Daphnia pulex: one gene and its partner. The protein of the gene in region 1 binds, or shares a complex with, the protein of each later gene. Links are inferred from orthologs where the notes say so. Each region holds a gene or a part of one and is shown in the gene's direction. Other genes may lie near its edges. The genes, in order: serine/threonine-protein phosphatase 4 regulatory subunit 1-like and serine/threonine-protein phosphatase 4 catalytic subunit.

Region 1 (15,966 bases):
ACGTGTCATGGTGAAGACACTCACGTACGCCATTCGAAGAAAAAAGGTCATCACTCTTTTTTGACTGATTAATGGATTGTTTACCACAGGTTTCTGTTTAGCTTAAATTTCTTTATTGACATAAGGGAAATGATTTCAACTGAATACAAATGAGCTGACATTTGGGCCACTCATATTTGAATTGAAATTGAAATTGGATTCCGTATTAGGTGACGAATTAAATGAAAAGATGTGTCAATTACGTAATCACATACGAGTGATTAAACCGAGCAGGCGGGGGTATTGGCCGGGGCGTTTTTGCAAGCGACGGCTGTCAGATTGGTCAGGCTATCAAATTGGTTGTTAAAGTCCCACACCTTTAATTGAAAGAATAATGAATTCATTTGATATCCAAATGAATTAAAAAGACAACAACTTTCTTTTCGTTATTACCTGGTTGTAAATTATCCAAGGAACAAAAAACAGAGTAGGTTCAAGGTTCAAAGTTTCCACTCCGTGATCGTGAACTAAATCCTGACCCTCGATGCTCATTTGGCAAGTATCAATAGGCGCGTAATCCAAGCCAGCCAATTCGGCGCACTATTCAACCAGACAATTTTCTAATTTTACCACACCCGTAAAAAAAACCACTGCGCATTTACGCGGCATCGTAAAATAACAAACGAACCAATTCTCCGTTCTTGGGTAGATCCATAAGGCAAGTCGTGAAATTTAAAGCCTGGCAAGATTTTAACTAAAATTAAGCAAATCTCTAAACGAAGTATTACATAAGTGAACGATACCTGAGTAATCGTTGGACTGTATTTGATGCCACAGGCATGGAGAATATTGCCAGTACACTCATCTTTCATAAGAAATGTTTGATGATAAAATTAATCCCAAAAGAACTTTGCAAATTGAAATAATAACTGTACCGGGTCCATGTTGACATTCGAAACTCCATCCGCCTTCCGCATTCGGTAGAAACTGCATGGAAAAATTTAAAATAACTTGGATAAGGATTAGGTGTGTGATTAAAAATAGAGCTCAAATTTTACCGTTGCTTTTCCGAATGGGATCAATCTTAAATCGGTAAAAGTGGAAAGCGTCGGCCAGTTGGGATTTAATTGATTCACGAGGAAATTGCGGCTGTCGGGACAAAGGGATTCGTAATAAACATCCAGGGTCATTCGTTCACCAGCTCTAGTCTTTTAATTTTAGAACAAATTAAAAATCATATAATAGATTACAAGTTGTTGCATAATAAACGATAATAAGTCTAGGATTAGATTAAGCACAAAGTATGACGATGCTATTTTATTTTATCAACAAGCGTGGCATGCTGCTGGTTTCATCAGGGATGGAAATGACTTAATCCAGCATGGATAAAGGCATGATAAAGCATGTCAAGGATAAAATAAAGAGCATAAAACAATCACGTGAAAGGTGCGTTGGCCAGAGTCGATTGTAAATGTAGGCTAACACACTATGCTGGTATCCCCCCCCCCCTGCTGAACATTTTTCTTTCGATATTGTCACACATCATCGCTGTTCAGAAATAATAGTATATACTATAATTCTGGCTTAACGCCATATAAGCTTCATCAAAAAACGTTCTCGCTTGCTTAACCACGTGTGGGTTATATAAGCGACGAAATAAAAAAAGTGACAGTATCATCAGAGCTATACGACGCCCCATTGTTGGAAAAAAATGAGTCACCTCCATCACTTTCCACATGGGAAAAGAAGTTGACAATTTGGGCACACATGTACATATAAGACCGCGTCTTTGATTAACTCTGTATTTATTCATAAACTCTATGACGCCAATAAAGACAGGTGAGAGCATATAAAGATTGACGCCTGCATTGCTGTATAAAGAGTGGACCACACACGGATAGTTTCTATTAAATAAAAAGAATTCTTTTTGTAATATTATTACCTGAGGGGCTCCACCAACCACGCAGATCAAGGCGAACCCACATAGAATAAGCGATCGCATTTTCGGTGTTAGTTTGATGTGAATTTTTCTTAAAGAATCAGGATCGAATCAAAGTAACTGTTTTTTCAGCTCACCCTGCAAGGATCTGTGTGTTTTTGTAGTGATGATTTACAGTCAGGATGTAACCTCTGTATGCCTATATATAACATTTGATAAGGTGGAATTATTTGCTATCGCGATAGAGCGAGATGTCGTGTGCTCCATTAGACCTGCCCATGAAGCATAATGATATCATAATTGATGCTGGTGAACTTTCGTCTAGGAGATAGAAATCGGACCATTCAACTTGTTACGTAATTCGAAAGAGAAAGGGAAGTCTATCGTGAACAATAACATTTTCCCCTTCGTTGAACCTGTTATAAGAGAAATTGGTTTAATTCCTACGAACTCACAAAAACTTGTTCACTTGCAAAATGTACACACAGTTTCATTAAATGTGTGTCATTTAAGTATAGTTGCAATTCGCATACTTGCATTCCTATAGCAACAAAATATTAGCCAATAACGTAAAATTATATAACAATCAAATGTTTGCGGTAGAAAGCGTTATCACGTAGTTAGTAACAAAACCAGTCAGACAGTCTCAATTAAAACAGAGGAGAGAATTCCCAATTAGGGAGCAATTAAAACGACAGGGGAACATGTTCACTTTCTGACGTTCTTTTATAATTTTGGTTGTTGCCCTTATACTCGCCACTTGGCAAAGCTATCAGTACATTTTTTTTCGGTCTTCAATTATCGTACAGCGGCGAGACCTGATCAGAATATTCAAATTTATTTTAACGTAACATAAATTATTCACATTTTTTTTTTCATCCACGAAATCTATTTAGAATAGTTGCTCATTTTCCGTTGCGATGTTAGCGGTGTAACACGACGCCAGACTATTCATCTTCATAATGGGTTCATCTTTCATTTGATCCTGCATCATTTGAACCCGATGAACCTAAGCAGTCAAAAATCAGGTCCATTATATAGTCATAAATGTTTCTTTAATTTTTGGCTCATTGTGAAAACCTATTTGCATAATAATAGTATAAAATATTTCATAAAAACTTGCACAATGAAGGTCACCGTGTCGAAAACAGACCACCTTTCAAAGCAAAATGAATACCAATATAAAAATAATTCGGAAATCGGTGCTTTCTTTTAAGAGTTAACTTTCAAGTGAGTCTTGTATTTATAATGTAGGGCCTATCGAAAACAAATGTATTACAAAATGTTACATTTTGATACATTACTTCAGTACCCAGCATTGAAGTTAACTAAAATTTGGACGGAATAACAATATTCGAATAAATGGAATGTCGATTTTTATGCTTCACAATCCCCAACGGGGATGGGTTTGCTCATCATCTAGACGGATCACCTAGAGAACATTGGAAAGGCAAGACGGAGCGTTAAATCCGTTATGATTGCAAGCAACAGATCTTAGATTGGAAAGACTACTCCATTGCTTGCCATCATCAAACACCTGTAAAATACCCCCAAAATTAATAATCAGTTGGAAATATTATTAAAGTTAATAGTAATTTTCACCTTATCATAAACAACCCACGGGACAAAAGTGAGAGTAGGTTGCAGAGTTAAAGTTTCCGTTCCATGCGCCACAGCCAATTCTTGGCCCTCGCTAGTCTTCGTGCAGGTGTCAATCGGTGTAAAGTCCAAACCGGCTAATTCGGCGCACTATATGAAATGGAAATATTTATAAAATTTCTTCAATTTTCATTCGGAGAATCCCGTACTAACCTGAGCTCCAGAAGTTGGTGCTCTCATCAGACACGATGCGTAGTTCAGCGCCTTATTATTGAAATAGAATTTAGTTTCCCAAGCTTTTATGAAACCCACATGTACATTTCGAAAGAGATACCTGAGTGTTGTCTTTACTGTATTTGATACCGCAGGCGTGCAGGATATTTCCAGTGCACTCAGCCGAACCGTGTTGACACTTGAAGGACCATCCACCCGATGAGTTTTGGGAAAACTACAAACAATTGTCAAGTTCATTGTATAAACAGGCAATTTCTGATTGCAACAAAGAAATAATAATAACGGGACATAGGACATACGCTTGCTTTGCCAAAAGGGATCAGCCTGAGGTTGACGAAAGAGGAGAGACTTTTCCATTGCGGCGCCAACTGATTGACCAAGAAGGCCCGGCTGTCGGGACACAAGGACTCGTAGTAGACGTCCAGATTCGTTCGTCCACTATTTCCGAGCTATTAAATCATCAAAACATTATGAAGGCACAGTCACGACTCACGAGTAAGAAATTAAAATCCAAACTGTCAACTAGATAAATTGAGCTATGCGAGGATGGAATGGCAGAGAAAATCATTTTTAAAGTTTCAGCTGTGTGACAAAACAAAAAGAATAAAACCCAACAAATATTTGAGGTTCAGCCGGAATGCGACGTGCGAGATTGATGAAATTCTTCGAGCAAAATAGTTGCCTACTATACAATTTCTATCACTTCCCTGAAATTCTGGCGTCAAGGTAGTTTTCAATACCTCCGCATGATTTCCAGCGGGGATGGCGCAGTCTATTGACCTTGGGTCCATGAGCCTTGCCTCTCCCCGGAGCTTTTTTTTCTTTTTTTAATTATTTCTTTCCTCTTATGTTTTTCTTAGGTGTTGTTTTGTTTTTACAATTTTAAGGTTAAACGAGAAAAAGGGGCGTGCCAACTTGCAAGGAAAATATTACACAATTTTTTTACAACACTTAAAATAACAAATCTTATAAATTAAGAAAAACAAGAAAATTATTAAACAATGTTTTACTTTAAATATATGAGCCAATTAAAATTAAAAATCTGAAATTAATTGACAATAATTAATTGTTATGCAAAATGATTACCCCAGCAGTGTTGACAAAGCTGACGCACAGCAAGGCAGAGGCTAACAAAAACTTGAACATTTTGGCAACTCACAAGGTGAAGTCTACAAGAAAGTTGAATTCAAGCACCGTCTGCAAGCACGTCCACTCTCTCCCGGAACTTGCTGAGCAATGTCTGCATATTCGAGCGAGCCGAACGACCAAGGCTATACATGTTATCCACTCCTCGATTCCTATTCTTTTCGCCTCTCACTGATCAAACAGGTGTGCTGAAGTGAGAGTCGAGCTGGACGCCAGCTGTGAATGTTTTCACGCGTGCATTGTAAACGAAACAACGGATCTTTTTTTTTTCAAATAATACAAAATTGTCCCAACAAAAAAGACTATTCTTCGTTGAAGTTGGCGCCAATAAACTGAAACTAGAACAAATCCATTACGATATTCTGGACAAAATCGAGGTCGCCAATTTACAGCTAAAATGTGCTGTGCTCTATTTCCTGGTTGAAACGCCCGTTGGTATCAGAATTTTCAAGGCGTGGCACTTGAGCGCCAAAAAAGTGCTACCCAATTGAACTAAAATACCAAAATGGCCATTCTGATCTTATTTCATTGAAGGCAGACTTACAGAATAAGGAACAACAAATCGTGTTACTTCCACCCCAGTGTAAAATAAGAATAATGTAACAAAATTGTATAGTACAGACACACTGCCATCAGTCAGAGTGATCGTCTTCATCATCGTTTGAATCGTTGAAAGGAAGATCGGGAAGCTGAATGTTGCTCAGCAAGTCACGCATGGCCGCCACCAATGTGGCAACGCTCTGTTGAAGATTGGCTCCCGCTCCTTCGGCAGCAATCTCTTCATTTTCTTGCAAATCGACATTGGCACGAGGAGGTCTGCAACAATTAAACATGTTGAAATAATTTTAAAAAATCAAATAAAATACAAGGCATACCTTCCAGGTTGTCGCTGAACGGCTTGTTGATTATTAACAACTTCCTGCGGATTAAAACCGGGTAAGAGTGACCGGAAGAACGAACTGATCAAACCTCCTTCCAACTGGCTGGCGGCTGTGGCATTATTGGTTCGAGTTGGTCGACTGTAGCTCGAGCTACAGTAATTTTATATAAATTTTATAAATTTATTTAATTTAATAATAATAATTTAATAATTAATAATTTCTATTTTTTACTATTACTTACACCGATTCTACAGGCGGTAGAGGATCAAAAGACATGACTGAACCAGCTGCCAGTTCCTGGATGTTTAAACAAGAAATAAATAAGAACGCTTCTTATTTAGAAAAGTATTTTGAGTTGAACCTGGGGTAGCGTGGCGGTAGCATCTTTGATATCTGACAGGAGAATATGTCGGTAGATATTTCTTGGCGTTCCTTGGTAGCGCGTTTTACGCTTTTCCTCGTATTCTAGGGCAATCGAAGGCTGGCGATCAACCTCATTTAAACAGCTGTTGGCGTTTCGTTCCAACTATAATTTTAGAGTTGGTTGTTAATACAAATTGATTTATGGCAACACATTGTTAAATACCCAAGGAAGGAGTTCAGCATCTTTCCAAAGGTGAAATGAGCGTCCGATGTACAGTTGAATTAAATTGTTCAACGACGGCGAATGACTACGCATGCAAGCAATTAATACTTGAACGCGAAATATTTTAAACTTGGTTACGTACCTGAAAGGTGTTTTGGGTGAAAAGTACTCGTGTCTGACTACTCTAACGTCAGCTTGAATGGAGCACTTATCTAACAAAGGAATTAATACTCCTGGGAACATTAGCAGGGCCTGTTTAAGGTATTCGTCTGCAAGTGGAAGGCTTTTGGGGTCAGTTTTTGAATGGTAGAAGTGGGCCAAAGCAATAGCGAAAGCCATATTAGGCAGTTGGGACAAATTTTTCTTGGATTCAAAGAATCCAAAAAATTCAATGAACCAAGAATATTCACTGGCTTGAAATAAAGACGTCAAATTAAACGAACGATTCTTTTTACATTAAAAAAAATTAAAAAAATGCGTAATACCTTTGATGGCGTAAAAGTCTATCATCAGAATAACTGCCAAGGGATCGGAATCCAAATCCAATGTATAAAGAAGTTTACAAAATTCCAAAGCAGTTCGGTAACATCCTCGCAAACCGATGGAAACCAAATGTTTGAATATGGCCAAAAATAATGCCCTTGAAGTAAACCAAATATGTGATTGAAGTGTAGGACAAAAGTCTGAAATAATTATACCTGTTTTCCTGTTGCTTATATTCGAGGCGACAATTTCCGGATGCCAAATTGAATGAAGGATGAAAAGCACTTTCAAGAATGTATAAGGCTCGCTCGATGAGTTCTCCTGCCATTTGCGGGTCTTCACTCATTCTGCAGATATCAGACAGCTGGATCAGCGAGTCTATATGGTATGGATACATATTCACAAGTGCAACAATATTTGTGGGATTCAATGAGCTGACAGCCTCCCAGAAATCGTACTGTATTTGACGATACTCTTTGTTGTGCTCATATTTGAAATAGAAACAACCATCCTTTGTTTGATCCAAACTCATTGAAAGTCCTAATATAAAACATGAATTCAACATCATATTAAAATTCATAAAAGATCTTTTAACTTCACAACACAAACCTGTTTTTCTTATTTGGGACCAATTGTCTTTGGAATTGATTAGCCATGTTGACTTTACATAAGCCCTCCCCCTGGCTTTCTTCTTTTGTGCTGAAACCACCACTCTGCTGCCAAAGATTTTCTTCAGCTCATTGTCAGAATTAAGATTTTTTTGTTCTAAACTGAGGACATTTTTAGCAGCAACTTGTTTGGAAACTGGCGTCTCATGGCCATTTGAAGGTGCAATATTAACTAGAAATTCATTGTCCAAATCATCAGCATCATCATCAAGCTGTGCACTTTGCTTCTTCTTCTTCTTGGTCTTTTTCTTAGGTTTGGTTCCTGTTTGAACTATGTGTGATGTGTCTTCTTCCGATTCATCAGGAGTGGGTGGTTCTTCGACACTTTCCTTGTCTGAGTCGTCACCTTCATGCAACTAGGAGAGTAAACAGGATGAATTTTGAATCACATTTACATGACACGATTATTTTATATACCAAATCAAACATATTGATGGCGGGTTTCTTCTTTCGATTTCCATTGACATTTCTTATGACAGGCGCATCATCAAGCTCCTCTTCTTCTAGTTGTAGGCTTGATGCCAATGTTGATAACTCATCCTTTTCTCCATGAATTTTGCGAAGCTGTCTATTTGACATGATCTGTATTTAATAAATTGCAAATCAGAAAAACAAGATATCGCTCCCGATATAGTAATCGTTTGGACAGTGTGTATTTTGGGTTGTGGGCCCACGTAATCGTCTGCATGAAACAAACCATCTAGCGGTCAAAAAAGCACTTAATTATTTTTGGAATTTTGGTAAAGTAGTTTTCGTGACTTTTCGATGCACTATTTGATTTTGGAATCAATTTAAAATGATTTTATGGTTGTGTGGTATTTATTGAAATGATTTTGATACACTTTTGGTCAATATTTCGTAATGGATGATTGCTACCCATAGTGTGCTGCCACCTGGCGCTTTTCACATTCGAAAAACGCTCAGTCAAACGCTTTCTGTCAAACGTGTAAAACCCTAGAAATTTGCCCATCGTGCTGAATGAAAATTCTTGTGTGCTTGATGTTTCGTTTTATCAAAAATGATTTCATCCGACCTTGGTGATAATGACTCAGTTATTGGTAACCGTTTGAACTGATTGGAAAAAGAAACGATTCTCCCACAAAACTTGGCTCAACTGAATTGTGCATTTATTTTATGTGCTTGGGAAAAAAGGGCATTGAGAGAAAAAAAAAGGAGGCAGCAAACGTAGTAAACGGCGCCTATCGGCAAAAGACTGAAGCTCGTTTCAGTCTGTACTGGTGCTCCCATCATGGCGGGTTAGTTGGCTGTTTCAGACTGTCAAATTTCATTTTTTTCCCTCATCTAGTTTGCTAGTTGTTAGTCATTCTCATGTTTAACCTAACTAGTACCATTGATATTGTCTGATTTGTAAGTAAAAGGCTGTACTTGTTGACTTTGCAATGGCTGCTCTCGTGGTACCATGTAGTCTAGGCGATTACGGACGTGTAGTAGAGTAGAGAGAGATTGTGTGTTGCTCAAAGTGTTTGGTTGGCGTGGTGTGTGCTGAAAGCGTGTTGATTTTGATCTTATTTATCATTGTCAGATGATCCACCTTCGTCCTCGCCACCGGAGGAAGATGAAGAAGAAGATGAAGACTCGAAATCATCGCAGCAACAAGGTAATAAACCCGAAATTCTTGTCGTTTTATTCCAGCCCGAAAAATTCCTCAGTCGGCGGTGGCATGTGGTTCGTCGATTTTCGCGTTACTGGCGCGACTTCTTTCTCTTGACAACAGTCAACAGCAGCAGCAGTTGAAGAGAAAAACGGCATGCCTGTTTTTTCACGGTTCAAGTGGCTTTTTTCCCTCTCATTTTTGTGTAAAAATCTTATCTTGAATGGAGTAGAGGGAGAAGAAAAAGAGGGTAACAGGAACCTTGTTAGTAGGGGGGGTTATTGGCGCCAAAAAAGAAAATGCCAGGCCTGGGCCGCATTGTGTTACACACAGCGCCATCATTTTCATTCTGGGAACAAACATTCCTCTCTCTCTCCCAAAAAGATTTTTCCTTTTTGTTTTTTTTTCTCCTTTTAAAAATTCTTGACGTCGTTAAAAAAAAAAGTCGTTGGAATGTTTTTCCGACCGATTTCTCTCTCCCCCCCAACACTTAACGTTATTTGGAAACTGTTGTGTGGTATTTTCTTATTTAAAAAAAACCAAGTAATGAAGTTTTCAGTCTTTTTTTAAAATGTATGCGGAATGTTGCCAAAATCTGCAACTTTTATTTTTTTGGCTAATAAAACTTAAAATTTTTCTTCAGATGATGAAGGCGATTCTTCTGAAGAGGAAAGGAGTTCCAGCGGTCGTGAATCGGTTTCAATCACGGAGATGGAAGCCTGTCTGGAGAACGGCAACGCTTTCAACAGGTCAGTTCAAGAAACATGTCCTATTATTCTGTACAAAAAGCTTAAGGCTAAGTCATCTAGAGATTCCACTTTTAACTAGTTTTCCGGCTCAAAAGAAATGAATAGCTTTTTCGAGATGGATTAAAAAATCTGTCACTTTAATGAATAATGGCACCTGCTCCGAGTAAAAACCCTCCTTTTTAGTAATCATTTAGTATAAGAAGCATATCTCTCACATTCCGATTGAAATCTGTTTGAACACGTCCATATTGGGTTTGTATGGCGTGATAGATTACACGACCGATAGCCCAACGAATTCTGGTAAATCTGATAGTGAAATCATGACTTTTAATTAATAACGGTCCGAAACACCTGCCGTTGAGCATCATCCACCTGGTATTATTATTAAATTCATGTTTTGACATTCAACGCTGTATGGACAACACTGGGACAAATGACCTAATGAAGGTGGTGGTGGAGGCCTGCTGTTGGTTGCGTGCGCAGTTACACGACGCCTTAATAGTGCGTTACTACTCGCTTTTTTACTCCAATGTTGACGGTGCAGCCTTTCCCTCGAGCTCTACTTCTCCCATAGAATAAAAACTGCGTCATTTGCTCGTGTACATTTTTTGGCGGGAAAGTCGATCGATGGAGATAATTCGATTTTTTAGTCCCTCCACTCGAGCATGTTGTGTGTTGTGCACCGTATCATTTTCTTTTATGGTTTCATTTTATTTTGGTGGTGGTCGTTGGTAGGCCAGTGGATATAGTTACATCGGCCAAAAAATTTTGAAATTATTTCGGCGCGCTCGAATTATGACGCACGCCCTTGGCCTCAATTTTTATATTTTTTGGTTGAGCCTCTCTACGTCGTCGTCGGTTGTTCAGGTCAATCCTTTTTATTTTCTCTCGCCAACAATTTCCACGAGATGGTGCGCCGATCGAAAGCAAGACCGGAAGTGAAACTTGGAAGAAGAAGAAGAATGTTGGCGCCAAAAAAGTGAAAAAGGAAAATTGAGAAGAGGAAAAACGGCCGATAGGGACGCCATTCAAAAATGTTTAGGGGGTGAAAAAAGCGCCCGAGGCATAGTGATGTAAGCGCCTCTCGGTGGCCGTTTGGTGAACGAATCCCCCCTCTCCACCACCACCCTCTTTTAAGGCGATGGAATGGCCGCTGTTTGTGCACCAATCGCCATGGGGCGATTTTTTTCTAGTCTGCAACGTGATTGGCCACCTCGTCTCCCACCCTATGTGGGCGGAGTCTGGTCTGAAAACGCACCCCTAGAAAACCTTAGATACGTACGCACACACGGGCAGAACACGTTCTCCTGCTCCCACCCCACACTCTCCACTCTTTTTCCGTCTTCGTTCACTCGCGTGTGTGTGTGTGTGTTGGCTCGGCGTGTTGTATTCAACCCCCCTGGCGGTCACTACGTCGTAGTACATTTCGGCTATCGTCGTCCGTGTGTGTGTGTATGTGTGTATGTGGTTGGAGACGTTTTGAACTGCAGACAAAAACAGCCGAAATTCTTGTGCCCGCGCGCACAGAGTCCTTTTTTTTCGTTTCTGACTATTCGTTCAACAACTTTTAACAGACTTGATTGGAGTGTGTTTGTTTCCTGTGACGCCATCGAAGAATTACTAGCCGAAAAAAGTGATGGACGCTATGGCAGGGAGACGCACATTGGGGGTGAAACAAAACTTTGGACGAGGGGGGAGTTCAAGACCGGAAGCGCGTCCCTCCCTCCCTCCCTCGTGTGTGTGTACGTGTGGTGAGGAGTAGCCATCTGCTCCTCTTTTTCTTTTTACACACACACACACACACGTTCAGCTGCCATGTTGGTTTCATTCGTCGTAGGCCTTTGGGGTACGTCGTCGTCCAAGTAGTCGGAGCACCACCCACCAGCCCTCCCGATGGCGCTACTTGATTGACTACTAACCCCCCTCCAGCCGACGCGTCTCCCGACCTTTTTAATGATGGTAAGAGTTGATGTTTTCTCTCTCTCCTTCCCCATGCTGGCGTTTGTTTTGACGATGAGTCAGGCCTCCTCCTCCCTTTAAATATATTTTCCGGTGGCGTCGTGTGTGTGACGTCATCCTGTGAATGGTATTGATTTATACCCTGCCTCCTCCTCGCAACAGCGACAAAATTTCCTTGGCCTTGCGCAATGGCGTCCTCACGTGATGAGACTCGCGTGTGTGTTGACATTGCCGACGCCGATCTAAATCGCACGTCAATGAGGAAACGTACTCGGAAAAAAGTTTCTTTCCCCCGTACAAGGCGTTGGGACGGAGAAATTCCTTTTCTCTCTCTACATGCCCGCCTCTTTGCCCACAGGGTTCATGTTTGACTGCATTCCTCAACCAACCCAACCAGCCAGCCTCCCTCTTTCTAGTTGGCTTGGCCGAGATACCACCGATTGATCCGTCCCCTCCATATAAAAATAAATAAATACTTGACCTAATCGTCTTTGGAAACCCCAGCAAAAATATTTTAAAAGTTCTCAGGTGTCGCTTCTTCCGGTTTCCGTTGTGTGTGTAACGCGAGTCGACAGGAACAAGTTTTTTCGGTGCGTCTTTTTGGAGAGAAAAAAGAAAATGGCGCGCGCGCCTCAAGGTGCAAGACCGGAAGTCGAGGATATTCCACGGGTTTCTCTTCTCTGGTTAAAAAGAAAAAGGGTCACATATATTTTTCAATCGGTTTTTTGGTTAAAATAAATAAAAAAAATTTCGTTGTGGCAGCAGCAGCCATCTTGAGGTCGCAAGAATGCTTATCTCCTCCGTCTTATATATATATTTTTATGTATGCGAGGAGAGAGAGGAAGCTGTTAGCCATGGGCGCATTCCTGTGAACCGAGGGGGGAGAGATGAGCCGAGCAGCTGGAAGGGCCAAATTCTCTTCCGTTGGGTTTGGTGGTGGTGGTAGGCTTACCCCTAAAGCTCTACTCTGCCATTGGCTTTGCCACTATTCTCTTACCCGTCGTCGTCTTTCTCCGATTTCAGCATCTTTTTCCCCGTTTCTCCTACAACCCTGACCATCACTACAAGAAAATCTTAGGCAATCTTGTTACCTGACGATAATGATAATTTACTTATCTCGGCGACACAAAATGGGGTCCAGGGCTTCCCACGGGTTTTCGGTTTCTTTCCAGTCATAAAACAAAATGGTCGCCCCCCTCCTCTTCAGTTTTTTGGGAAAAATCAAAAGGGAAATGGCGGACTGGCTACCACCACCTAAACGATGGAATTAATCAACTTGATTGAGAGTAATGACTGTAATTTCAGCATTTTTCGGATGGTTCGATCGGAAAGCATCAATTAAATAATTTCAATTCCCATTGACAGAATTTTCAAAAACATGGTTGTGTGTGTGTGTAGGGTGGGGAACGCGTCGCCGCCATTTTGTCGAGCCGTGAAAAACGCGTACAAAATGGCCGCCGACTCCATTTCCCAAGTTTATACGGCGTGCCGTTCTTCAGAAATTTGACGATTATTTTCAACTGTCGAGCGCTAAAATAATGAATTTCTTTTCAATATCGACGTTGTCATCTGGATGCGGGTTGTTGTTTTTTTTCTTCTTCTCCCGAAACCATCTGGCGATCCCGGGGAAAATGCTCTGGCTGGGGTTAAGGACGATCCATCACCTCTTCTTTCAGCAACAAACAACATGGTGGAAATTTGAAAAAGAGAATTGGGGTGAGAGAGGGGGAGAAAAAGAAAGAAGAGGATTCGTCGTCGAATGATGGGAGGGTGAGAGTGGGGCCCTTGGGGTAAATATAGAGAAGAGGGGGAACTCACCCTCCGCTTCTTCCCTATTTCGCCCCAAGGCTTCTGCGGAAAAATCAATACTTTGACCTCCTCCCCTCTCTACTACGTTCTCCCCCCCTGTCTGTTTGTGCAGCGGCCATAGGTAAAAACTTGAAAAAGTTGTTGGGTTCATCAACAAAAATATATATAATACTACTACTACTACCAAGGTAGTAGTAGTTTAAGCGCATAGGAGTTGATCCAATAGAAAACCGAGTAGGTAAACCTATTAGCTCAAATAACCATCCGTCGTTTTGGACTTTACCAATCGATATCAGTCGAAATAATTTGGTTGCACGTTCAATTGTTGTAGGAATAGTGTTCATTTGTTGAAAATAATTTCGAATCGAAAATGTTTGGCCTATTGGGTGAAATAGCCACCTGAAACGGTTTTGCGCGCCTTTTAATCCTCTGAAAATGCATAGGCCGCCACCTGGTGTGGGGTTTTGAAACCACTCGGTGCAACCCACCCCGATCGGCCAATAGAAATCGAGCCAAATTACAAATAGAACGGAGAAATAAAATGTCTTCTTCTTCTTAAAATAAAAAGAAGAAATCAGAGAAATGACTCAATAATAATTCCTTGTCTTGATTTCTATATTTATAACAACACAGGGAGCTGGTGGCGCGTGTGATTTTAGAAACGCTGCGTTCGATTCCCGTTCCCGATGTTCATCACGACCTACGCCGAGTGTTGGCCATCATCTCACGCCTGGGCGAAGATTCAGGTATGACTGTGGGGACGACGACGAAAATGTCTGTGTGTGTGTGTGTCGCCCAAAATAATCATCATTATCATAACAACAATGCGGGGTCGCGATTGGTTCTGGACGGAGACAAGAAGAGGCTCCCGCTGATGGATGGGTTCCAGAGTGTAGTTAGCATTTCTCTTCCGTCGTTTCAGGCGCGCACGCGTTTCGTGTCAAATCTCCTCCTCGGCCAGTTCTTTTTTCGAACGACCAAGTGACTGTGTGGTGGAGGGAGACTATTCTTATTTATAGAAAAAAACATCAGGCTAAAGGAGCGCGCGCTCTAGGAGAGATGGATTGGGTAACTGTGTGCTGCTGCTGCTGCTCGACTATTCCGGAATTGGATGCCCTTTGCCAAGATGTTTGGCGGGAGGAGGAGGAGCTTTGGTCCAGTTTGTGGGTTTCCTTCCTCATTGGTCCAATTCGTTTTTCTCTCTTTTTTTTCCGGGCAGCCACAAGAGTTGATTAGACTCTCCGGAATACAGGAGCAAGGAGCAGCAGCAACAGCAGTTGTCGCATCGAGAGAAGAAGACGGATGCGCTTCACTGATGCTAATTAAAAAATACCCGAGATTGGGAAGAAGAAGAAGAAGAGGGGGTGGGGTGAAATAACTTTGAGCTCTCCTACCTAAACCTTATAGATAGATAGTGGCATGCCACCACCACTAGTACACATTTCTTTTCTTGTGTGTGTGTGTGTGTGTGTGTGTCCCGGAATAAAATTAGTGGGCAAGGATCGTAGAGTGTTTTAGTATCGCTTCCGCGCTCAGTTGCGTCACACCTACACAAAAACTCTCGTCTCCTTCCTTCCTTCCACTCGGGAGCGCGGACGGCGGCTCCTTCCGCACTCGACAGTTCCGGTCTACCCCAAATGTCGATTCGAGGTTTGATGTGTTGTTGTTGTTGTTGTTGTTGTGTCATTTTTGGTCGGGTTGGAGGGGGGAGAAAATCGATTTATGCTCCAGTTGTAGTCGTAGTGCGTAAGGAGCCATGTGGCCGGGTTGAAACGACGTTGTAGTACAGCTGGCCGGCCCTCTTGCGGTCCAGACCAAGTCTCGAGGTATCTCCTGCAAGTTGCAGCAGCCGGGATTGTGTGTGTCGTTTGCAAGTAGAGATGCGATTGGTCTGGGGAGTGTCGCGCGTGCGGCACTGTTGTTTGAGCTTCGCACGTGCGCTCCAACCCTCCTTCTTCTTCTTCTCCCCTCTTGCGACGTTCATCCATCAACGAGTCTGCCAATGAGTTGCGTCTCCCATGTTCTCATTATCTCGGCTTCTTGAAGCCACCCTCCTACTCCTAATGTCTACCCAAGCGGAAAAGGGTTACGTCTTTGACGTGACCCCCCGGTCGTCGTACTACTCGTAAAAAAGGAAAAATTTCCCCTGCGATGAGCGGAAGTTCGTTAACGTTGATGAGTGTCGAGAAAAACAGAAAATGGAGGGAAAATGTGTGGCTCAAACTGAGATTTTACTTTTGCAGAGCCTTCAGTTCGGGCTGAGCTGATGGAGCAGGTGCCCCACGTGGCCATGTATTGCCACGAAGAGAAAGATGAACACCA
Region 2 (15,881 bases), on another chromosome or scaffold:
TCGCCCTATCTGTGGGGAGGGGCAAGGAAGCGTGAATAATAAGGAAAATACAGTTATTTACTGTTGATTACGTAAGTGCAGCACTGATGTACGTATTTGAATGCTATCTTGTTGGATCGACCCGTTATCCACCCAAACCTGTATTTTTAAAATGTTCTATCTATCCCAGGCTGGCTGGCTGGTCCAGCCGCCAAGGTATTCAAATAAATGTTATCTCGTTTGGCTCAATTCTTGATCCGAAATTAAAATTAAAAAAGAAAAAACCTGACAGGACGTAATTTTTCAACGATCTAGTTAGGCCTTTTTATTTAAATAACGATAGAAGAGCCCTGGGAAATCGATAACTACGTCTCATTATAATGATAATCCCACTACAACCAGATGTTCGGACCCTTAGTTCCTTTCTGAAGTGGCTGTTGATCACTCGACGAAGGTTTATTACCGTCACGAATTTTGTGTGTTTGTTTGTAGACGGAAACGAAAGTTGGGAGAGAGTTTGACGTTTTAATTTGGATTTTAAAGATGCTTATGGCGGCATTTACCTTTTGAAGGCCCATCTTCTCTGCAGAAGTCGACATCATTATCAGTTACCACACAGAAGTTTAAAAAAAAATCCCACTGTATTACGTTGTTAGGCTCCGGTACAACGCGATGTAATTCAATGACGAAGCAACATTTTTCACATATGTACGGAGATAAATTTAATCGCCCGCAATTATCTGTTTTTCATTTTTGTCTCCATGGAAACAATGTTATTAGACAGGAAAAGAAAAATTGTATTATTGATTCTTTGATTGCATTGTAATAACAACATTTCTTTTCGTGTTATAATTAATCGAATTACATTCGCGTTCGCAACCGCTGTGAAAAAGCGCAGCACAAAAATTTGAACGACGCAATAAACAATTTTGAATTATTTGGCAACGCCCACACATTTAAAAGCAGATTTGTTGACATTAGTAATTGCTGTGACAATTTTTCTTTTATTCAGGGCATTTTGTTTCGTCGTTCGAATTATACTGTAGAAAATGATTTCAGCTTGATTAAGAGACTACTCAGCAGTGGAAGAATTTTACCGACTTCCGCAAACGTGCCGACACCAATTCAAATGCAAAACAGTAACCCCAATTAGTTTTCTCCGTCACGTCTCCAATAACATGTCGGCATGACACGGCTTTGTTCAGTATGTAATGAACCTATCTAACACAACCATTATATCAATAGTTTGATTGGTTTTACATGTTACAATTTACAGGAATGGAGAAAATGAAGTATCAAAGTCCACATTTCTACAATGTTAGAATTCCAGAGTGCATATGTTTATCTCCCCAAGTTCTCCAAAGAGTTTGAATGATGTGATTTATTAGATTTTTCAGGTATGTGTATTTTTACTTTAAACTTTATTCTGTATGATACACATTTTTTCGCAATTTCAACACATGTTGCTAAGTATTATTGGCACACTTTCCCTATAGCTGGATTATGGCATTTTTAATTGCATGATTGTAAAAGAAAAATTAGGGTTGTGATAATGGCTATTTTGATGATGCGTTGTAGAACATAGTGCTTTCACATTTTACCCTATTAAATTCAAATATTCTCTTTGAGGTTTCACGCCCATCAATTTTCGCTCGATAACAATCATAATGATGTGGGGGAAAGGTAGACTCATCGCGGGAAAGTGTCTTAAAAGTGCAAAACGCGAACTGGTCGTGTGAAAACCATTTGTGGGGAATCGAAAATCCTTTCTCGTCTATTTGATTGATTGATTGAAAAGTCTTTGGACGCAAGTGCTTTCTTTCTAAAGATCACAAATGATGTTGACTGACGTGTCGAGGTTCCTCCCTACTTTTTTGCCAATCGAGCACATCCTTACTTTTCTAGCCTCAATAATTGATTGAATAATGATTGAATAATAGAATAATAATTGATTGAACCTGCACTCGAGTTAATGAAATGCTTTTCGATTTAGGCGACTCCAGTCCTCGCATAGCCGTGAGAACAAGACCTGGTCGCACTCGACAAGGAGGATGGCAATGAACAAGATGTCCAAGGAGGCCTGGGCCGCTAATCCAAGCCTCGGTTACGAGACTAATGACTTGGAAACAATTTTAGGTCCCGTTTTCACGCTTTTCCGATGCTTCGGTATCAATTTTCACGAACCGTCGGACACTAATTGCCGTTTTCTCCATCAAACGGCCCAGATTGGTTGGGTGGTGCTGACATTGGGGACGTGTGGATTTCGTTTACTGGTCTACTTCCCTTTCATTTTAACCAGGACGATTGCCGACGTGGAAAATAGCAAATCCACTATGCACTATTTGATCGAATTTCTCAATTACTGGATCTACATTTTGGCCGTATTTATTGGCTCCTGGTGCATGGCGAGGTAATTTACAGTTTCGTGCGTCATTAATTTTCTGTTTATAAATGTGTTCGTTTGGTTTCAAATCCAATACAGATGGTCGGCTGCTAAATTATGGCGTGCAATAGAAGATATGCTCTTGCACATTCCGTTGTCTCCCGAGGACACGGCTCGCTGCCGCAAGACTTCCGTCCAGTGCATCTTCGGCTGCCTCGTAGCAGTGAGTTTTGACACTTTTTTTTAACACTTTTGAAAATGTTTCTAATAATTTTATTGTTTTTATTTTTCCATTAAAGTTATCGCTGAACTTGATTTTATCCCTGTCGATTGAAATATCGCTTGCTTCTCCGGCCAACAGGATGGCGTTGGCGTTGCTTTCGGTCGTTTACTTTTACTCGTTTGGATCGTGCGCCCTTTTCATCAGTGCCGGCCGCATTATTTCGATTGCGTTTCAAACAGTTAGCAGTCAGCTGGAACTGAATTGCTGTCCTCCTTCAACCAATGCAGCTGTCGTCTGGAATTATCAACGCCAATTTGGCATCGCCTGCCGAGCTGCCGAGAAATTCTGCAGCACGTTTGGCTTCGTCCTCTTTGCCACCGTTTCCTACACGTTCATCGGCTTTGTCAACGCGTCCTACAACCTGCTGAAATCCTACCAGAATTTGCCGCAAGGATCGGATGGCGGTGAAGATCTTTACTTCGTCATCCCCAGAACGATTAAATTGACTTACATGATTGTTGAGCATCTCTTCCGGCTGTGGCTGATTTGTCACACGGCCGATCTGATCCGCTCCAAGGCCCTGTCGCTCGTTCCCGTCCTGCAGAGCATTCGCAACGACCTTTATTCCCGTCAGGGCTGCAACGACGAAAGTCAAGAGGTAAAATTTACATCGCACTCCATGAAAATTAACTAACAATAATGGACAAGTGCATTTTATTATGTAAAGGTGCACACCTTCCTACTGGAGGTGTCTGAAACTTCGCCCACGTTCGGAGTCCTTGGGATGTTTACCTTGACTAAACACATCATCATTTCGGTGAGTTATTGATTAGTTGATTGACTGGATGTCAATAGTTCCTGACATTTGCGTTCGTCGTCAGTTGATAGGAACCACATTAACCTATCTGGTGGTGTTGTGCCAATTCAGTACGGCGGATAATCCCGTTGCCATGACGCCCATCAGTAATGCCTCTCAGTCGTCCTAAATCAACAAAAACGGGAGTTTTTTTTTTTTTTATGTTTACGTAGTACCTTTTGTTTTAGGGGATTATAATTCACCTTGATGAAATCACGACCTTTAGTTATCGTCTGTTTTTCAGTTGTTACGTAACCGCAGTATTCATCGACGTATGTTTTTTTTTGCTGGGCTTTATTTCCCCCTCAGCCGTGAAGCAATTCTTGAATTAATTCAACTTTGATGAGAGATTAAAAATAAAAAACGAACAGTGGTCAACTTCGGTTGTCATAGATAAAGCATAATGGCGACATCTTAGATGGAACGTTCAGGAATAGAGTACAGGTGTGAGATCCGCCTAAACATGCGAGTCAAGAGTCACATTATCACGGCTGACGGAAAACAATGTATTAAACACCCACCTCCCCTCCACTATCGTGGTGTTGATCAATCCTTATCATTTATGGCTACTTCAATTGACCTGTCTCGCTGCAACTGAACAACACGCAGTACCGAGTGAATTGTTGCAAAGAGCGAAAGGAATTCTTTTCTTGTAACTTCTCAAGTTCCTTACTATTACTTACAAAATCTAAATCATAAAAGGCCCCAAAGTCACTGGTGAGGATGAAAATTGTTTTGGCGCTGGCTCTTTTGTCCTGCTGCGCAATTCCATCCGTCGTAGGAACCCGTTTCGTTTGCTACTTTCCTAACTGGACGTATTCCCGAGGAGGTATTTGAATTACATCATATTCTATTCATTGATTGGCATGATTGCTTTAAACGCTTTTCAGGTGACGGAAAGTTTGGAGTGGACAACATCGATCCATTTTTGTGTACCGATTTGGTGTATTCTTTCGCCGTCCTGGATGGAGCTACGTACCAAATAAAAATCGCTGATGAGTGGGGCGACATCGGCAATAATGGCTACGCCAGTTTCGTCGCACTCAAAACTCGCAACTCTCAACTGAAGACAACCATCGCTATTGGAGGCTGGAACGATTCTCACGACGGAACCAACAAGTACTCGAATATGGTGGCCAACCCGGCTAACCGAAAGATGTTTGTTGATTCGGTCGTGGCATTTCTTCAACTTTACAAATTTGATGGACTGGACCTCGATTGGGAATATCCGAGTGGTGAATCCGACAAAGCAGGATTTGCTGAATTACTGAAGGAACTTCGCGTTGCCTTGGGAACTAAATTGATATCTGTCGCTGTAGCGGCAAACTCGACCATAATCGACCTAGGTATAAGTTAAATTTAATTTCCAACAGATTGTTTCATTCAGACTGACACAACACAAATTTATGAATAGGCTACGATGTGGCAGTGATGGCCGAAAAAGCGGATTACATTAACGTAATGGCTTACGACATGCATGGGCCATGGGAGCCTCAAACAGATCACCACGCCCCACTTTACAGAAGATCCTGGGAAACGGTGGATAACAACATCGATTTCATCGTCAACCACTGGATAAGCAAAGGACTTCCTGCGAACAAGATTAACTTGGGAATTCCCCTATACGGCAAAAGTTGGATCCTTGGGGAAAGTGTCGAACCGGAATTTCTTGCTAAGACAAAAGGCGATGGACCAGCTGGTCCACTTACAGGAACACCTGGTTTTCTAGGATATCACGAAATCTGTAACAGCATCCACGCTGAAGGTTGGGAGACTGTTGATGATCCTGAGTACCTTAACGGCCCCTATGCCTTCTCTGCGAGTAACCCAAAGTCATGGGTGAGTTACGACGACACCAAAATGGCTGCCAAGAAGACTCAATACGTCATCGACAATCAACTGGGTGGAGCAATGGTTTGGGATATCAGTACCGACGATTTTCACAACAAATGCGGTGGTGGAGCCAATCCTCTGATGACAACTATTTCAGACAAAGTCATGAATGCCGGATCCCGCTTTATTTGCTATTTCCCAAACTGGGCCTACTATCGTCCAGGTATGTTTGCCTTCACTAGTGTGACGTTATTTTAATAATCTTATCAAATTATTTCTTTGTTAAAATAAGGCGATGGCAAATATGTAGTAGACGACATAAATGCCACACTCTGCACCGACATGGTCTACGCTTTTGCAATCCTGGATGGGAAAACTTACAAGATCAAAGAATTTGAACCTGAAATTGATTTAGGAGAAAATAAATTTTATTCAAAATTCGTCGATCTCAAGAAACAAAACTCGAAATTGAAGACAACCATCGCGATTGGGGGCTGGACAGATTCTCACGACGGAACCACCAAATATTCGGACATGGTGGCCAGCTCGACTAACCGAAGGACTTTTGTCGATTCAGTCTTGGCATTTCTTGACAAGTATAAATTTGATGGACTGGACATCGATTGGGAATATCCGAGTAGTGCGTCCGACAAAGTTGGGCTTGCTGAATTAATGAAGGAACTTCGAGCCGCATTTAATTTACAGACACCGAAATATTCACTCACTATCGCTGTGGGAGTCAATAAAACCATTAGCGACCTCGGTCAGTATTAATCAATAGTGTATATGAAATAAAAAGGTTTTTTTAATACATTTTTTCAACGTTAGGATACGACATACCTGTGTTGGCCACGACAGCTGATTACATCAACATTATGGCTTATGATATGCACGGGCCATGGGAACCTTTAACTGACCATCACGCCCCGCTCTATAAAAGAGATTGGGATACAGATGAAACCAACAATATCGATGCTGTCGTCCAGTACTGGAAAGATAGCGGTATGCCGTCCTCAAAACTCATGCTGGGAATTCCCCTATACGGAAAGTCCTGGACACTCGATTATACTTACACGGAGGATCCCACGCTTCCGGCACCCGGTTTGGGACCTGGAGCTGCAGGACCTTTAACCGGTGAATCGGGAACGTTAGGATACAACGAAATCTGTAATTATGTGAAAAACGAAAATTGGGAGGTGGTGGTCGATCCGACATTCCAAATCGGTCCATACGCTTCCACTCCGAGCGTGCCAAAGACTTGGGTTGGTTACGACGATCCCGTCATGGCCAATGTCAAAAGTCGCTACGTTCTGGAGAGGGGACTAGGCGGAGCCATGGTTTGGGACATGAGTACCGACGACTTTAGGAACACTTGTGGTGATGGACCCAATCCTATTATGACCAACATTTCACGAACTGTTGGGGTGACGACATCGACTACGACGACTTCACCGGCGGCGACCACCAAGACTACTACAGCCAGCACCTCGACGACTACGGGTGAGACAACGACAACAACGCCAACAACACCCCGTCCATCCACTACCAAACTGTCCACTTGGCCAAGAGTCACGACGGAGTCGACACAGGCTACGAGTTCGAAAACGCCATTCATACCAAACAATGGGCACCGAATTGCTGGCAATAGTCAGCAACTTACATTTTTGGCTTTCGGGTTTATTTTAATTAATTTAGTTATCTAGGACGTTAGAATTCAAATTTAACAATTTTTAATCATTTCTAATATTTTAAATCTTATTACTATATATTCAAAATCTGATTGATTCGGCCCGCAATACACACGAGTGATAATTAAATGTTGTTAATTGATATACTCATTGAGTAAGCCAAGAGAACTCTTATTTTTTTGTTGCAAAATTGCGTTAAAAATGAATTAGAAATTTGACAACTCCAATGTCGATTGAGCGAGTGCCGAGTGGCATTGTCAAGTGTCGAAACAGGAAGTGTTTAAATAAGTAATGGGTTAACGGCTACATTGTAAAGACCAGATTTCCAAGGCTTGAATCAAGGTTGGTTGTATTATGAAAGTCTTTATTGCAAACAAGTAAACGACCGTCAGAAGATCTGTGTTTTGACTGAATCAGAAATGAGAAATCAGCCTGAACATGCCCGTCTCAAGCAATCGATTTTTTTTAATCCAAAGGAATTCTGAGAAATAAAATATCAATTGAATGTCAGCGTTAGTTAAGGTCCCGTTTGAATAAACGAAACCCATCGTGACCATGTTTTGGTAGCAAACATCGGGCTGAAGGCCGACTGACGTCAGAGAATATTTCAAAATTGATAAATAATGTATCGAAATATTTTTTTTACTAGCGTGCTAGCGATGTTATCTTTATTTGTAAATTTTTTTTCTTACTAATAATATTACCAGATATTTGTAAATCATTTTCAGAACAATATCGATATTTCAACAAAAAGGAATAAAAAGCGCGCTTGAAATTAAAACTGCGGAGAAACTTGGCAACGCCGAATAATTTAATGGCGTTTAGATTGAAGCCCAGTTTTTTTGTCCGGCAACGTAAGGCAAGCCAAGGAAGTAAGGATAGCTTTGAAGAACGACGAGGACGGATTCAATTCGTGGCTTAACTCTCGATCGTCAACTTATCCAGTCACGAATTCATTCTTCGCCATCACCACTCATATTTCATTAATAACGCAAAGAGGTAAAGCTTTTATCTTATTCTCGTTCTGTGTAATGTCAGTTTCCTCATTTACCAAGTCAATGTGTATGACATCACCGGTCGGCTGTTGCACATACTCAAGGTCGTTATTCTTTATTTCCCTCTCGTCAACTAGGAAACAGACAACGTAAATATGTCAGACTTTAGTGATTTGGATCGACAGATCGAACAACTCAGACGGTGTGATATCATTAAAGAATCAGAAGTCAAAGCCTTGTGTGCCAAAGCACGGGAGATTCTGGTTGAAGAAAGCAATGTTCAGCGTGTTGACTCTCCTGTCACAGTAGGTTTCTCATAAGCTTTTGATTATTGCTCAATAACTAACATTTTTTGCTTGCTTTAGGTTTGTGGTGATATCCATGGCCAGTTTTATGATTTAAAAGAACTTTTTAAAGTGGGTGGGGATGTTCCAGACACAAATTATCTATTCATGGGAGATTTTGTTGATCGAGGATTTTACAGTGTAGAGACCTTTCTTCTCCTATTAGCTTTAAAGGTAGTATACATTTTTGTTAAGCATTTCTTTCTCTTGTTTCTGATTTGAGATTTCTTTCTTAGGTTCGTTATCCAGATCGCATCACTTTGATTAGAGGGAACCATGAATCACGTCAAATTACCCAGGTTTATGGTTTCTATGACGAATGTTTTAGAAAGTATGGTTCAGTCACTGTGTGGCGCTATTGTACTGAAATTTTCGACTACCTGAGTCTTTCAGCCATCATTGACGGCAAAGTATGCTTCCAGTAGTAACATGCATTGATAAAAACTCTAACATGACATGTTTTTCAAATTTTAGATATTCTGTGTGCATGGTGGGCTATCTCCTTCAATTCAGACACTGGATCAAATCCGAATAATTGACAGAAAGCAGGAAGTTCCTCACGATGGACCTATGTGTGATCTCCTTTGGTCTGATCCTGAAGGTAGGAAAATAAATATTGGCTATACTTCTGAAAGTGGTAATTCATTTCTGGGTGTTTGCTTTTGACAGATACACAGCAAGGATGGGGAGTGAGTCCACGCGGTGCCGGTTATCTTTTTGGCTCCGATGTTGTGCAACATTTCAACACCTCAAATGACATCGAAATGATTTGCAGAGCACACCAGCTTGTCATGGAAGGCTACAAATGGCATTTTAACGAAACGGTGCTGACGGTGTGGTCTGCCCCCAACTACTGCTATAGGTTTGTCTTAATTTCCCGCCAGATTTCACCAAGATGATTACTTAAACTTTTAATATTGCAATAGGTGTGGAAATGTAGCTGCCATTTTGGAATTGGACGAAAATCTCCATCGAGAATTCACGATTTTTGAAGCTGCCCCTCAAGAGACTCGTGGCATTCCTTCCAAAAAACCTCAAGCCGATTATTTCCTATAAGAAACGCGAAATGTTGATCGTTGATATATCCCCTGCGATTTTTTACAAAAATAATTATTCGGTAATGCATAAAACAAAAAACACAAAAAAAAAACAGTAACTGATGTGAGATACCCCATCAGTTGAAACAGAGCAAAAGAGCCTGTATCATGTTGGTTGACCATTTACCTTGACCGCCCGGACTAACAAATAGGTTTTTGAAAATTCTGTTCTGTCCAATCCCTTCCTTTTTTTTGGTAAACACAGTCTTGTCCTTTATAATAAAAATATATCTTGATCGTCCAAACAAGTGTTCAGTTTCCCTTTTCAACTTTTTGCTGCAGGATATCACATCTGACTATAAGCTACTCCCACTACTCAGTTTAATGAACAATATCTTTGTGTACGTGCGGTTATGGTATGTTGGGGGCGAATTGTGTGACGTGTGTAATTATTTTTTAACATCAGTGCTAAATATTGATGCAATGGCCATGCTTCCAAAATCTTTTTTTTTTTGTTTGTGTTGCACCCATTTATATTATTATGAATGTGATGCTTGCGATGGCTCTCAACATGCACTGTATACAATTTCTTGAAATAACGATGGACTTGAGACGAAAACATGTTTAGTGTACCTGCATTAGTTTCGAAAACAAGGCTCGATGTTTACTTTCTCAACATTGAGTCATAACGGCTATTCATTTTTACGATCGTTTTTATTATCACCGCTGTCCCGAAACAACATTGCGTGATGAATCAGCTGATAAGGTAATATCGTTGTGACATTCGACTACCGTGTGCGGTTTTGTGATAAGGTTACGTACTATCACAAGGTAATCCACGTTTAATCAACTTTCCCTTTTGTTAATTAATGGTACTATTTGACAACAATCGATTGTTGGATTCGGTTAGAGATTGAAATGGCAGCGAGTTGGCATGACTGAGCAGAAAACGCTCGTCCATAAAAGAAACTTTTGGCGATGCAATTCGAGACGCTATTTTTAGATGACTTTGATTTATTTTCCGCATTGAAATGGCATGTATGTACCGGATGGGTGTTATCTTTTGCCGATCAACGCACTCGGATGACCTAAATTTTTGTTTTAGTTATTTATTGCTCGGATTTTTATTTTTTAAAAAAGAAAACTGCAAGCAAAACATCCCAAACATAGTATCGATGCATTTCACAAATAGAAGTGGTGACCAGCAATTTTTGTTTTTTTAAAAAGATTGCCCATTTTTAGGTTTGTAAAATTGTTGACACAAGTTAAACAGATCCATTTTGCTGAAGTCAACATTAACAACCGACTATATAAACGGCGAGTTTTAAATCATTAAAGGCATCCGAGTAAAATCTTGACTGATTTGCGTCGAACAATTTTCCAATCTCCCGAAAATGACACGGTTGATTTTGGCTCTCTGTGCTCTTCTCTCTCTGGCCGTCGGACAGAGTCCATACAACGATCGATTCTCGGTAAAATTCTTTTTCTTTCTTCAACTATTTCAAAAGATTTAATTGTTAATTATTGTGTTTTAAAAGGGTGGAATAGGTTCCGGATCGTTGTATCGTGGAGGAGGAATGAGCGGCAGCGGAGGTCCGTTTGTAACGACAACTACCGTGACGACAGTTCTAGACTTGAGCACCGGAATGACGAAAACTTTCCACTCGTCCAGCAATCCGAGCAGCGGCGGAAGCAGCGGCGAGAGGTCTTCTTACCCTTACAGTGGCGGCTACGGAGGAGGTGAAAAGAATAAATTTCCGGAAGGAAGCAGCGGAACTAGCCCATTAATGAATATCCTGAGCGAAAACGATATCAGCGTCCTTGTGAATAGCTGGCATATTCTCAAGAAGCGCAGCGATTTCGCCCCCAAAGTGTTCATGAGGTATTTTTTGTTTTAATTATTATTTTAAATCAATTACGTAAATCAATCTTAACCAATTCAATTGCGCAGATATTTCAAAGCCAAACCCGAAGCTCAGAAGCTCTTCTCGGAATTCGCCAACGTGTCCATTACGGATTTGCCAAATAATCACGATTTCCTGAACGCTGCTTATTCTTGTGTGTCCAGTCTGGAATTCATCCTTCCTCATCTCAGATTCCAGCATCCGGAGCGATGCCCCGCCCTAACCGATCTCAAGAATAAATACAGCGTCGTTGATCTCAAGGTAAGGGTTTTAATTTACAAAATTGAACAAGAATTACGGTTTATTTTCTGACGCACATCTTTATTGTTTTTAAAAACAGAGGTTCGTACCCATCTGGATGGCGGCCATGCAAGAAGAGATGGGCAACGCTTACTCCAACGAAGTCCGCGATGTCTGGAAGAAGGCCTTGTCCGCTTTTACCGATTACGCTTCAACCCCATAAGCGAATTTATATTTGTTAAACGATTAATTGTATTTCATTTCGGGGTGTTATTTAGGGGGCGCTTTTTCACAGCTACTGTACAAGCTGTTTTATCTATTTTATTTGTAATATTATAACCAAGCTTTTAGTCAATACAATATTCCACGCAAAATAGCTACGCATTTATTTTTACATTGAATTGATTTTCACGACTTGCGGATGTGAAAAACAGCTGGTTGGATTTCAAGGCCTTTGTCTTTCAATCCAGACACGTGCGAGACTAGTCGTGTCAAGGCTGGTCGCTCTTTAATTTGAAGGTTAGCTTGAACAGTTGTGTGCTTTTCCCAGCCATTGTCTAACGTCTATTGCTGTCAAAAATCTCGTGATTGCGGTTTGTGTTTAATCATTTGACATTGAGTCTCACCACAGTTCGTGATTTTGTTTTTGTCAGTGTCTCTTCAGCCATTTCTCAGGTTACGTAAAATTTCGTGATATTGTAATTTGATCAAGTTTATTGGTAACGGGTTAGTTTTCGGAATATTGCATCTTTTGATTAGTTGTGAAGCATGCCAATAATTGAGTGTAGAGGATTGTGTGACAGCTAGGAATGCAAACATTCTCAGATTCAAATTATTGATAAAACAATTTGAGCAGGACAATTTCCATTCTAGCAATAACCTTTCTCTTTAACTGTAGAGTGGCTATTATTATTTATGGAAGGGCTTATAAAACTTCTGCTGGTTGTAAATTTGTAATTACGCAGAAAAGTTTCTGACGATATGTGAGAATTGAATTAGATTTCTTTGCCAATACGAGATTATTAGTTTTGATTTACTTTTTTATTGATGTCATAATATTTTCTATTTCCACTATATTAGCAATATTGTCGAATTAAATCCTTTTTTAACCACATTAATTGTCATTTTATTTAGAGGCGTATTCGATGACGGCCATGACGGCTTTCTTCCAGACATCACGCACGTCGTTGGTGAAGGCGTTGCCCATCTCCTCTTGCATAGCTGTCATCCAGATGGATCCCAGTTTCTTAAGTAAACAAATTATTGCCAAATAAGTTTCGATTTTAAATTTTTTTAATTTTGATCGTCACCATTACCTTGAGGTCGACGGCGTTGTACTTGTCCTTCAAGTGTTTGGGGAAGGCAGGGCATCTTTCAGGGTGATCGAACTTCAAATAAGGAATGAGGTAATTGAGACTCGTGATGCAGGTATAGGCCGAATTCAGGAATTCGTGATTGGTGGGTAGCTCCGTAATGGGAACATTGGCGAAGGCTGGAAACAGTTTCTGCGACTCTGGTTTCGCTTTGAAATATCTGCAACGAGTAAAATTTCATTCAAAATTATTTTTGGAATTATATAACGTAAAATAATTTTACCTAATAAAAACTTTGGGGGCGAAGTCACCACGTCTCTTCAGAGTGTTCCAAGTGTTGACGATGACATCGACGTCCTTTTGACTAAAGCTTCCGTATTTCTTATCGCCGTAGTAGTAGCTCCTTTCACTGGTGGAAGAGGGTGAACGCATAGACCTGGACATTCCAGCGGGATTGAAGTCGAGGATCGTTGTCACGGTAGTAGTCGTTACGAATGGGCCACTGCCTCTCATCGTTGAATCGCCGTGTCGGGATTCCATTCCGCCCTTTTTTTTAAATAAAAAGAACGAGCGTTGATTGCACAAATTCAATTAATAAAATTTGAAAACTGAAAACTTACCGCAATTCCTTCGTTGAAAGGACTCTGTCCGGCTGACAGAGATAGAATAGAGCAGAAAACTAGAATTAACCAACTCATTTTTTAAATTAGTGTCTAGGAGATATTTGGAAACTGTACTATGCAAATCAACCGTTAGGTAGCCAATTATCTACTCGATGTCCTGATGGAGTTAGTCGCTCGTTTTATACAGTCACTCGGCTTGTAACATCAGCAAAAGGATGGACGTGTGCTCTCCCTTAGTCGACATTTTCCGAAATCTAAAAATGTAACATCTTCATAAATAATTCGTGACTAGAATCTATTTAGGGAATTTAAAATATGGTGTCATCATTTCAAAGGCGGGCCAATTGAAATTGAGGCCAAAATTTTATGTTTTGAAATCAATACGCGTGTTTTTGAAAACCAAGCAGAAATGTTTTAAAAGTAATTTCACTAAAAAAGTCAAATCACGCGGAATTTGGTATCGCTTTAGAGCGCATCCGGTATTTCACGTTGCACAAATTTACTGCGCATATTATCGGCAGTTATGCAACATAATTTATTTTAAATCGAAATTATTAAGTGTATCGTAATCAGTTGGTTTTCCACATAAATTTTTATTAATTCATGGAAACAGGTCATGTTTTCTTAATAATTATCACCATGACTCTGATATCTTCTTAACTTTTTCTTCAAATAAATTTGTTATTAAAAACAGTAAAGAGAAACCCTCGCCTTTATATTTTCCTCTTTTGTATAATTGCGCATTCATCGTCTTGGTTACACAATGGTCTTCATCAAGAAGATGATAAAAGACCCGGTACATTTGAAAAGCATATTCGCAGTTTCCATTTTGTTTTAAAAATGATTGCTATAATCAACAGAAAGTAACATGGATTCCAACAACCGCGAATGATTTATCTCTAGTATCCTATTACCCGCATAGAAACGCGGCAGGTGCCAAGCAAAAAGAAGATTCGGACAAAAACAAATCCTCGTTGAGCTGACCTGGTTATAAATCGTCCGTTGTACCGATTGTCCGCGGTTTCTGCGTTGTTTATACGTTTTCTGGCTATTTACGGTTCTATTTCCAAAAAGGAATGACGGAGACAAATAGCAGGTAAAAGGGTAGAACAAACAAAACAATTTATCGACTCACGCAATATTCCATCGCCGTACTTTGTGAACTCGAGACTCGCATACGTGATTTCGGTTTCGCCTTAATGCCTCATTATTTATTCTGGCATGTTATTTTTTGTACTGTCATTTTACGTAGTTACGAGAGAGAATATTGAAATATTCAATTTTGTGGTGATTTAACTCGTTATTGCAACCTTGCGTACGTTCCCGCCATTTGAAAACGAATTAATCGTCTGTCCCAAGCAGACACGTGTAAAATGTTCAGCTGTGTATTCGACGATGTTCGACAATAAACGACAAGCAATCTTTGTCATGTCTTTGTGACAAAGCTGACAAAGCAAATTCAACAAGAAAATTTAAAAAAAGCTCTGTATGTATAGGTTTAGTTAATTTACCTAGTTTCACCAATTAGTCTAACAACGGTGTTTTGGAATTCTATAGGCAAAATGCAGATGCTACTTTACTGTCGAATTTGGGAAGAAGAATCATGGCGTATGGAGGATTGGGACGAGATGTTGGATTCTGTAGCAGCACTAACAAAACGTGACAAGTCTAACAACTATCTCAGGTATGTAATCTTCAAAATATGTGTTTAATGTAGCATGGTTTCGTACCAAAGATTTTGGAAAGTTGTTTCTTGTGTGCAGTTGAGTGACACAGAGATTCAATTGATGTCTGTTGTCTTATTAGCAGCCTTGCACTTTTTATCACCTATTTAATAAGATGTAAGCCAATAATAGTAAAGCAACAAACCAAATACTGCAACATGTAGCTAGACGTCAGGTTTTTTGTGGATTTTTCCAACTAATTTTTTTTTCCCTGAGGCTGCCAAGTGCTGCCATACCTTTTGATTTGCAACATTCTTTGTCGATATGTGGACATATAGGAACCCTTAATTGTTGCAGCTAGAATTTCCAACCGTTGTGAAATAAGGGCAGATTTCAATGTTTCCAAATTCCTTGATTTCCTTACAAGGAATTGAGTAGCACTAGGCTAACTACCTTGACTGTCACACCATCCGTTATTATTGAAAGGTCAATTTGACTTCTCGTTTTCTTGATCGCAAGTGGGTCGCTCAACTTGCAAATAACTCTTAAATGTCAACGTAAATAACGGAACCAAACTATTTTCTCGAATGACAGCATTTTGAAATCAGTCGAATGAAAACGGGACATTCGGTAAAAATGTATTATCACGGGCAACAGAGATATTTATTTAAAGTGTGTGACGAATCGTATGAAAATAGGATGTGTTGATTACGTTATCTTTAACTTTCTGGCTCTTTCAGTTTGTTTGATGAGTTCGTTTAATCGCTCCGTGTAATTTTTCATCGTGTATCGATTGGTC

What was found.
Region 2: serine/threonine-protein phosphatase 4 regulatory subunit 1-like (region 1) and serine/threonine-protein phosphatase 4 catalytic subunit share a complex: the UniProt entries of both Homo sapiens proteins name them as parts of the PP4 complex. The link is inferred for Daphnia pulex from reciprocal best matches to the Homo sapiens genes PPP4R1 and PPP4C.

What each region holds. Positions count from the first base shown.
Region 1 is NC_060022.1:852,193-868,158, forward strand, and holds the start of serine/threonine-protein phosphatase 4 regulatory subunit 1-like, read left to right. Parts: upstream 1-8,425; 5' UTR 8,426-8,764; coding exon 8,765-8,771; intron 8,772-9,058; coding exon 9,059-9,133; intron 9,134-9,770; coding exon 9,771-9,876; intron 9,877-11,002; exon of another isoform or gene 11,003-11,835; intron 11,836-14,277; coding exon 14,278-14,390; intron 14,391-15,887; coding exon 15,888-15,966. Other genes in the region: GILT-like protein 1, read right to left, coding at 261-356, 433-579, 668-718, 783-844, 915-966, 1,038-1,187, 1,922-1,981; transcription factor 25-like, read right to left, coding at 3,351-3,455, 3,521-3,667, 5,635-5,713, 5,773-5,928, 6,020-6,075, 6,140-6,304, 6,365-6,449, 6,507-6,777 and 4 more. UniProt on the Homo sapiens protein: Regulatory subunit of serine/threonine-protein phosphatase 4. May play a role in regulation of cell division in renal glomeruli. The PPP4C-PPP4R1 PP4 complex may play a role in dephosphorylation and regulation of HDAC3.
Region 2 is NC_060025.1:1,441,905-1,457,785, reverse strand, and holds serine/threonine-protein phosphatase 4 catalytic subunit, read left to right. Parts: upstream 1-7,213; 5' UTR 7,214-7,304; intron 7,305-7,690; 5' UTR 7,691-7,961; intron 7,962-8,094; 5' UTR 8,095-8,112; coding exon 8,113-8,262; intron 8,263-8,322; coding exon 8,323-8,475; intron 8,476-8,537; coding exon 8,538-8,711; intron 8,712-8,775; coding exon 8,776-8,902; intron 8,903-8,970; coding exon 8,971-9,163; intron 9,164-9,227; coding exon 9,228-9,357; 3' UTR 9,358-9,957; downstream 9,958-15,881. Other genes in the region: uncharacterized protein LOC124202225, read left to right, coding at 1,973-2,389, 2,462-2,585, 2,662-3,243, 3,313-3,402, 3,467-3,571; probable chitinase 10, read left to right, coding at 4,165-4,270, 4,332-4,787, 4,856-5,497, 5,567-6,037, 6,103-6,977; uncharacterized protein LOC124202229, read left to right, coding at 10,733-10,810, 10,877-11,220, 11,290-11,503, 11,583-11,705; globin D, coelomic-like, read right to left, coding at 12,609-12,728, 12,799-13,015, 13,079-13,341, 13,416-13,493; glycoprotein-N-acetylgalactosamine 3-beta-galactosyltransferase 1-like, read right to left, coding at 15,791-15,881. UniProt on the Homo sapiens protein: Protein phosphatase that is involved in many processes such as microtubule organization at centrosomes, maturation of spliceosomal snRNPs, apoptosis, DNA repair, tumor necrosis factor (TNF)-alpha signaling, activation of c-Jun N-terminal kinase MAPK8, regulation of histone acetylation, DNA damage checkpoint signaling, NF-kappa-B activation and cell migration.